2 linked regions of the Arabidopsis thaliana genome follow. The protein of the gene in region 1 purifies or fractionates together with the protein of each later gene. This does not show direct contact. Each region holds a gene or a part of one and is shown on either strand. Other genes may lie near its edges.

Region 1 (4,630 bases):
AAAAGCCAACAGCACAAGGCAGAGAATCAAATCAAGTCCAAAAAACTCAGCGAATTATACAAAACTTACAAGATGAAAAGTGGAAGTTGAATTCACCTGGAAAGCTGAGAAATTTGTTGAAAGTTGATTGAACATTTGAGCATTTTGCTCGAGAAGATCTCCACTCACACCACCAATAGCTGCAATAAAGCCGAAACACTTATGCTCCTTCTAATCCAATCTAGAAGATTTAGCCTTTAAATGGAAAAAGCCTAGAATCTTAGACAAACCTTTATATGAAATACCATCATCAGTATCGATAGGCATCATAGGCGGAGCATAAGAAGGACCATTAGGATGAACATTCAAATGAGATGAGGACTTGGCTGAAGAATCTGTAGCTTTTTCCTGCTAAACAGATATGTGAAAGACAATCAATCAGTTTTTGTAGACTTATAAATGGATCCACAAGACAACACAAGAACTTTCATCCGTCCAAACTCACAAGTAAATGACTAAAGGTTCAAGCTAGTTACACATTAGAATTCAATCAAGCTGATTTATGGTTTGTACTTCAAATATCTTTCTTAGCCTTGCTAGTATCGAAATTGCTAAGTAGCAGCAAATAGGATTGAAATCCACATACTTTCTTATCTTTGCTTTTCCTCGAGGAATGATCTTCTTTCCTACGCTTTCCGTTTTCCTTTTTCTGCAATCCATCAGCAACCACATGGAGGTGAAAAACCGTCAGTTGATTCTTACTAATCAATAAAGCCAATACACGAAGAAGGTTAATCAAGAACAACGAAAAAGTCGCCGGATTAAGCAAAATCAAGAAACTTACAGTCATCCATCTACAGCGCAGGGCAACATCTCGAACAGTCTTATCTTTCATTTTCATAGCAATCTTCGCATATCGAAAAACCGACGGTTCTGTCGCGTACCTATATAAAGATTAATTACTAAAAGAGTGATAGGATTTAACAAGGCTCCTACAAAAATTTACAACCAGTCATTACAGATAAGTAGACAACTCATCCTCTAATTAAATCCTAAAATTTTCACATTGCTCTAACACTAATGAGCCTATCATAAATATGATACCACACTAGCTAGCTAGTCATTTTTCTAGTATTTTATTTATTACCATACTTGAAACCACATCCAAAACTCACAATCAGCTAATCAAATACCACTGTTTCTCTTCTCAGATATAATTCAAAAAACCCGACCAAAGCTAACAATTCTCAACACATATTCCGATTCAAGCTACATGATGCTTGAAAGGCCATGGAAAATAACATATCGCAGAATTCACTACATCTAGTCACATCTAGTCAGATAGAAAGAACATTGGATAAAACAGCAAATCCAAATCTTAAACATACAGAGAGAGAGCGAGAAGATTACTTGACAAGCAAATCTTCCAATAGAGATTGTTCCTCAAGAGTCCAATCGGTAGAGATCCCTGGATTATGCCTCAACGCGCCAATCGTCTGTGAATTATCCGCCGCCGCGCCTGTATTTCCACCATTATCGACGGAATTCACAGCAGCGCCATTCGCCGCCGCCGCTGAAGAAGACGATACCTTCTGCGTCGCCGACGAACCTTCCTGATTGTTCCCCGACGGGTTCGCGCTCGCCGCCATTAAATACCCAATTTTTGGAGCTTAAGAAGTCACTTGGTTTCCTAAAATAATTCCACCGGAAAAGTTTGAATTTTGGGAAATTCAGATATGAATTCGCCGGGATAGGAACAGAGAGAGGGAGAGAGAGAGATGATGGGGAGATTAATCCGGCCGCCGACTGAGCTTCTTCTTCTGCTTCCCTCGAAATATGGAATCTTTGCTTATAATAATATAAACATATAATTTCATCTCTATCCTTTTTCGGATTTTGGTTTTCTATTTTTGAGAGTCAAATACGTCAATTTTAGTAATTAAGAGGCTTTTTGGGTAAGGATTATAACTATAGGGGCTGATACATAATAACCTAAAAGAAGAAAGTAATCTGTTTTGTTTTTTCCTCTCTTTTCGAGGTCCCTTCTCCTCTGTCTTCTTCATCCCACCTCTCTTGTCTCTCTATCTCTCTCTCTCCGCGCTTGAGGTTGGCGTCGGAGATTACCAACAAGAGCTCTCTCCAATCGTCGTCTCTTTGATATATGGCGTCTCAGCCTGCAGGTTAGCTCAATTGAAATTCTTTTTTTTTTTTTTTTTTTGAGGATTCAGATTTTAGGGTCTCGATTTATTGAATTCTCCTTCTACAATTTTGGTACGTTCGATGAGACCCGTCGAGTTGTTTGATTTGAAAGTTGTGAAATTGATTAACTTTCGACCTACAATTGGATTTTAATTTAGGGTTGTAATCAATTGATGAGATCAGCTTTTGGATTGCGCTTAGCTTTGATTGGCCTTAGATTTTCTTGATTCAATTAGATGCTTTCGTTTTGGATTGCAATTTGATGCCTTTTCTTATTCTACATCATAGTTCTACTTTGATGTTTTCACATAACCTCACTTGTGTTACCGATACTGTTCCTAATCATCTTTACAATTGCTTTCATCAAGTCTCTTTAGTGTGTGTGTTTGCCTGTGCTGATTAAAGTTTAGTCTTATTTTCAGAATACTATCTGTCATGTCACTAAACGTATAATTAATTCAATTTACTGCTGCTGTAGGTGGCAGTCCTCCTAAACCTTGGGAAAAAGAAGGAAATACATCTGGTCCTAATCCTTTCAGGCCTCCTTCTAATACTAGCACGGCTGGTTCAGTTGAGGCTTCTGGCACAGCTAATCCTGGTGAAGTAGTTCCTCCGCCCGTGAACAGGCCTAATACAGCTGCTAATATGAATTCACTCAGTAGGCCTGTACCGGCTAGACCTTGGGAACAGCAGAATTATGGGAGCACTATGGGGGGAGGTATATTTTTTCAAGTTATCTTAGATTTTTTGGTTGCTGAGATTGCATAAAGCTTAGTTCTTTTATTGTATGAATGGCAGGTTATGGTTCAAATCTAGGTATGACCTCTGGGTATGGGTCAGGTACATATGGTTCAGCATTAGGTGGGTATGGTTCATCATATGGTGGTGGGATGTATGGAGGTAGTAGCATGTATAGAGGAGGTTATGGTGGTGGTGGGCTCTATGGAAGTTCAGGCATGTATGGTGGTGGTGCGATGGGTGGTTATGGTGGCACGATGGGTGGTTATGGTATGGGTATGGGAACGGGAATGGGAATGGGGATGGGAATGGGAATGGGTGGTCCTTATGGTAGTCAAGATCCAAATGACCCTTTTAATCAACCTCCATCTCCACCAGGCTTCTGGATATCATTTCTCCGTGTGGTATTGTTCATTATTCATACTTTATTTTGTATAAGAAATAAAAGAAGTTGATAATGATAAGGTAGTACTGTATAACATAAAGTGTTCATGTTTTGATTGATGACAGATGCAAGGTGCTGTGAATTTCTTTGGCCGTGTAGCGATGCTTATAGATCAAAACACACAGGCCTTTCACATGTTCATGTCTGCCCTTCTTCAGGTTCCTTCCTGTTTTTTTCTTCTACCAACTCGTATTTTACTGGTTCCTTGATCCATTTCATTGTTCTCATGTTAACCAATCATTTATTTGTCCTCAGCTATTTGATCGTGGTGGTATGTTATATGGAGAATTAGCAAGATTTGTACTGCGTATGCTTGGGGTGAGAACAAGGCCTAGAAAGATGCAGCAGCCACCACAAGGGCCTAATGGGCTACCTTTACCACACCAGCCACATGGAAACCAGAACTACCTCGAGGGGCCTAAAACTGCTGCACCAGGTGGTGGCGGTGGTTGGGACAATGTATGGGGCAACTAAGTTACTTCTTTCATTACCCAAATCCTTCAACATTGCTTTAAAACACCATGACAACCAGTTGGTTACCGATAGAAGATAAACCGTGTAGCAGCCTGCAACACAGATTGGGATGTACGAAAACCAGATGTTTGTTTGCAAATTGAGTCTCTTCTTCTCTTCTCTCTATCTCTCAGTATTCTCTGATTGTGTGGTAAAGGATAGATGTCGTACTCTACAAAATGGAAAGTGAAGTTTTAAGTGTTTGTTAAAGACCTTTCTATTGATATATATTTATAATATCCGATTCTCTTCCTCTTTTACTGGATTTGAAACAACACTGTTGACCAGTAAACGATTTTGATACTTTATTAACAACTTGAAGCCTATTCTTGAATACATCTTTTCTTGCAGTTTGCCTCTAGACAAGACCAACACATTGGTCCCAAAAATGTCGTATGAACGAACTTAAAAGAATCATGTACTGTTGATAGAAATTGATGCTTTTATTCTTGTGCATATAGTCTCCAGTCTGGTCCTATGACCATCATTTCTTCTGTTCTTAGTGTTATATCGGCTCTATGTAATCTGAACATCTCAATTGCTGTAGGGGTCAGCCTCGCGTTCCCGTTCATGTAGAGAATCTGGAGGTTCATGCAACCGCATCGTAGAGCAAGCAACCCTTGGTCACATAAGTTCCTACAACGGTTCACATGGAGTTTCTTCAAGTTACGGCACCACTTCCCTACGGCTTCCCATCCCGAAATCTTAACTTCATGACAAAGAGCCAAGTTCCACTCTTGGAGCAATGGACAACCT
Region 2 (4,771 bases), 890 kb from region 1:
CTTCCTCCAGGTCCTCCGGGGTGGCCGGTGGTTGGAAACCTCTTCCAATTCGCGCGCTCCGGGAAGCAGTTTTACGAGTACGTTGACGATGTAAGGAAAAAATACGGTCCTATCTACACGTTGAGGATGGGAAGTCGAACAATGATCATAATCTCTGATTCAGCTCTCGTCCACGACGTTCTGATTCAACGTGGACCAATGTTCGCAACCCGACCCACCGAGAATCCGACCCGAACCATCTTCAGCTCCAACACTTTCACCGTTAACGCTTCAGCGTACGGTCCAGTATGGCGATCCCTGAGAAAGAACATGGTACAGAACATGTTAAGCTCGATCCGGTTCAGAGAATTCGGGTCGTTGAGACAATCCGCAATGGATAAACTCGTCGAGAGGATCAAATCAGAAGCTAAAGACAACGACGGTCTTGTTTGGGTCCTAAGAAACGCAAGATTCGCTGCGTTTTGTATTCTTTTGGAGATGTGTTTTGGAATCGAAATGGATGAAGAATCGATATTGAATATGGATCAAGTGATGAAGAAAGTGTTGATCACACTCAATCCAAGACTCGATGATTATCTCCCGATTCTTGCTCCGTTTTATTCCAAGGAGAGAGCAAGAGCTCTCGAGGTTCGTTGTGAACAAGTTGATTTCATCGTTAAACTCATCGAGAGACGACGGAGAGCGATTCAGAAGCCGGGGACTGATAAAACGGCGTCGTCTTTTTCTTATCTTGATACACTCTTTGACCTTAAAACCGAAGGTCGTATAACGACGCCGTCTAATGAAGAGCTTGTGTCGCTCTGCTCTGAGTTTCTTAACGGTGGTACGGATACGACGGGGACGGCGATCGAGTGGGGTATAGCGCAACTGATTGTGAATCCTGAGATTCAATCTCGGCTCTACGATGAGATTAAATCAACGGTTGGAGATCGTGAGGTTGAGGAAAAAGATGTGGATAAAATGGTCTTTTTACAAGCCGTTGTTAAGGAGATTTTACGGAAACATCCTCCGACATACTTTACGTTGACTCATTCCGTCACGGAGCCGACGACGGTCGCCGGTTACGATGTTCCCGTTGGGATTAACGTTGAGTTTTATCTTCCGGGAATAAATGAGGATCCAAAGCTTTGGTCTGATCCGAAGAAATTTAACCCGGATCGGTTTATTTCGGGTAAGGAGGAAGCGGACATAACCGGTGTAACCGGAGTTAAAATGATGCCGTTCGGTATTGGCCGTCGGATCTGTCCGGGGCTAGCGATGGCGACCGTACACGTGCATTTGATGCTAGCGAAGATGGTTCAAGAGTTTGAGTGGAGCGCTTATCCGCCGGAAAGTGAAATTGATTTCGCCGGGAAATTGGAGTTTACGGTGGTAATGAAGAAACCGTTGAGAGCCATGGTTAAGCCAAGGGTCTAAATTTGTTTAATTATGAAAACGATGTGTGCTTATATATTAAAGAAGGAACCTATACTCTTGAAATTTGTCAAGTGCTTTGTGAATTTCTAGTAAAAGATTTCATTTATTGTCAAAACACATCAATAAATGATTTTGCTTTTTTTTTTTTTTTTCAATGTAAAACTGAGCTACCTTGAGATTGTGCTTAACACTAATAATTTCGTACATACACCGAAAGTAGGGCCAAGTAGCTATAAAGAGAAGAGACATGTCGATGTCAAAAATGAAAAAGACATGAATGTGATGCTGGACTTTCATTGAGCCGCAAAAGTTAGCTCAGATTTTAACTTGTTAACTAATCTTGTTGCATGTTCATGAATCATTGAATGTTTGAAATAACAGTTCACGCAATGTATCACTGTTCTACTTCACTTTTAATGCGAAACTAATGGCCCATTAACAACCAGAATAATGCTAATCATCATTTTTGGGCTTAGCTTGCTTTGATTAGATTTGTGAAGGAGAAGCCCATTATATTGGCCCAATAGCAAATACCCAATTAATTCCTCTCCCTCGCTTCTTCCTCGTTCTTCATTCGAGCAGAATCAATCTCATCGCTCTGTTGTGTCTAATTGAAGCTTTGGATAAGCTTCTTCCAATACCTCTACAATGGAGGCAACTGATATTTGGGGAGAAATTGAACGTTCTGAGAGGTATTCCTGAGAATTTGCTTAAATTTTAATTTTTCATGCTTGCGAATTTTGGTTCCGTACTTGGCCATGTGTATAAGGAGAAGTCAAAATTTTCTCAGAATTAGTTATCACGATAATTATCTATCCGGCTTTGATTCAGTCATGTATAGAGTTTGTAGAAAAACGATTCATCACAGACTTGACAAGAAACAAGTTCAAATGAAATTGCTTATGATGATGTCCACTCAAATTTATCTCATACTTGTAAAAATTATCTGTTTTCAAGTTGAGAAATTGGCTCAGTACCAATTTCATTACTCATTTTTTTTTTTGTTGGATGTGTATAGTTACCTAGTGTGCTCTATGTATGAAGAGGCAGAGTCATTATCTTCCTCTATACTGAAAAGAATATTTGGCAACATTGATGTTTTATCCGACGAAGCTTCTCAAGGTGATCATCAATTTCATGATATGTTGGAATCTGCTGGTATGGTCTTAGTTCAATCCTTGCATGGAATCGGCAGGTATATTTCATTTACTGTATTCAGATGTTATAACATGAGTAGTTCTTTTGCCTCTTACTTCTGTTTGGAATTGGATGCTCTAAAGAAACTTTAGAGTCTTGGACGCTTGTTGTAGTTTTGGCTATGTGATAGTTTTTGCCAACAAATGCCTTTTTCATGCAGGACAGTTGAGATTGTAAATGAGTTAAGAGATGTGTTTGGAGAAGTTGCAGCTATTCCTGTTCAAGTTCTTCTTACTGGGTATTGTTCTTGTTCTAAATCTTTCAAAGTATTACAGCTTAAGATGCTTTAAAAGGAGAATATTTGGTTCTTTTTGCAGTTTATTTTTCAAAACTAGGAGTAAAATACATTCATTTTATTTGCTAACTTTTTCTTCTTAAGGGGAGTACAATAACATTCATTTTATTTGCAAACTTTTTCTTCTTAAGGGGAGTACAATACTGCTCTCTGGATGCATTAGCATAGACAAAAGTCACAGAACAAGATTGTTGAAATCTAGTTTATTGATCTTCTTCCCTTTTTTTCCCTTTTAGAGTATGCCTTCAAATATCAAATGGTTCCTATTTGGGTGTACGTGATATTCTGGAAGAGTTCTTTAGAATATGGGTTTACAAGGACAACCACTATATCCTAAATGATGCTGGAGTAAGTACAAAAGGATTCCATGCGAAAAACTGTTTAGATATTGATGAGTACATGGAAGTCGTTGAGCTGTATACTTTTGGAGTTCTTGCAAAATTTTCAAATGACATGGGCCTAGCCATTTCATGGGTTGAAAAAGCTGCATTGCCTGAGGAAAGGCGACAGGTACTAACTATTGAATATTTTCGTGAGTTGTGTATGAAATTGTGAATTTGTTCTAACTATGATGCTACACTAAACTGTCTATTTCAGGGGATTTTGAGAAGATTGCATTCCTTACTTTCTCTCAAAACAGCTAGTTCTTTTGAGGAAAATTCCAAAGATTCTTCTTATGCTGTAGTGAATAACAAGAAGTCGTTGGGTAATGAAAAGAATGATGAGATTGATTCTTTCCTGAAACTATCTAAACAGCATGAACCTTGGTCACTTTGGTCATCCCATCCTCTAAGCCTCAAGGTTGGTAATACCCAATTTAGCATGTCCAGGGGAAAGGTTGCCGTAAGCCTTGTTGGATTAATCATATGTTATGCTTTGAAGAGAAAACGAGCTGCTTTGATAAGGTAAGAATTCTTATAAGCTTGTTTCTATGCTTGAATGATCAGAAGTTGTGTGATGAAAAAATACATTGTGAAACTTGTTTACTTGTTTCAGGATCATTCGCAGGCAAATGGAGTCCACGAGAAAAGCAATAGTAGATTTCTGGAAGCTTGCGTTTTCATACCAAGTGAATCCTCTTGCAGCAATTCAATCCATACCAAGCACCACAACATGAAGATGGATCAAAATTTGGCATTGAAAATGCCTATGTAATACCAAACCAACACTCAAATATTTTCATAATTGGTTCTATTCAAAGTTCAAACTTAGTTTTCCCAAACTTCTCCACTTATATCAAACTGTAATCACTGAACATGATTAAGAACCCGTTGCATATTATGTTTTATCTATATTTCTCCTTGCCTTTTTAATATGGGATAAATCCTCGTATGTTTGGATTTCGAAGAAGCAAGGGATTACAGTTTCAGATTCAAAGCTTACACTTCAAGGGAATTCATCTTCTAATGGTGAAACTATTTACAGAAGCAAAAGCTTCGCCTTTAAGGCTCCTCAGGAGAATTTCACTTACCATGATTTCGAGCTCGGCAAGATCTATGGCGTTGGCTCTTATTCAAAGGATTCATTTTTTCGATTTTTTTTCCTGTAAAAATCACACCTTTTTCTGCAATTTGGTTTGATTCATGAATCAATTCATATCCTGGAGATTTTACGTATGTGTAATTGAATCAGGTTGTTAGGGCGAAGAAGAAGGATAATGGAACTGTGTATGCCTTAAAGATCATGGACAAAAAGTTTATCACCAAAGAGAATAAAACCGCTTATGTCAAATTGGAGAGGATTGTTCTTGATCAACTCGAACATCCCGAGATTGTGAAACTGTTCTTTACTTTTCAAGACACGCAATCACTATGTAGGTAGTTTCTATTCAACTAAAGTCTAGACTAGAACAAAAACTCTAAA

Evidence for each region. The genes of interacting proteins can lie anywhere in the genome.
Region 2: the proteins of PEX13 (region 1) and APEM9 purify together in Arabidopsis thaliana (affinity purification with western blotting; one study listed by BioGRID). This does not show direct contact.

Annotation. Positions count from the first base shown.
Region 1 is NC_003074.8:2,410,821-2,415,450, reverse strand, and holds PEX13 (peroxin 13), read left to right. Parts: upstream 1-1,863; 5' UTR 1,864-2,140; coding exon 2,141-2,159; intron 2,160-2,656; coding exon 2,657-2,896; intron 2,897-2,976; coding exon 2,977-3,320; intron 3,321-3,426; coding exon 3,427-3,519; intron 3,520-3,616; coding exon 3,617-3,835; 3' UTR 3,836-4,130; downstream 4,131-4,630. Other genes in the region: AT3G07565 (histone H2A deubiquitinase (DUF3755)), read right to left, coding at 70-179, 270-390, 626-688, 824-923, 1,390-1,628; AT3G07550 (RNI-like superfamily protein), read right to left, coding at 4,318-4,630. UniProt on the Arabidopsis thaliana protein: Component of the PEX13-PEX14 docking complex, a translocon channel that specifically mediates the import of peroxisomal cargo proteins bound to PEX5 receptor.
Region 2 is NC_003074.8:3,302,282-3,307,052, forward strand, and holds APEM9 (3-phosphoinositide-dependent protein kinase-1), read left to right. Parts: upstream 1-1,943; 5' UTR 1,944-2,064; coding exon 2,065-2,108; intron 2,109-2,434; coding exon 2,435-2,611; exon of another isoform or gene 2,612-2,756; coding exon of another isoform or gene 2,757-2,773; coding exon 2,774-2,851; intron 2,852-3,144; coding exon 3,145-3,418; intron 3,419-3,505; coding exon 3,506-3,813; intron 3,814-3,904; coding exon 3,905-4,025; 3' UTR 4,026-4,223; downstream 4,224-4,771. Other genes in the region: CYP77A6 (cytochrome P450, family 77, subfamily A, polypeptide 6), read left to right, coding at 1-1,416. UniProt on the Arabidopsis thaliana protein: Involved in peroxisome biogenesis and matrix protein import. Required for pollen maturation and in vivo germination via its role in peroxisomal function, which partially involves jasmonic acid biosynthesis.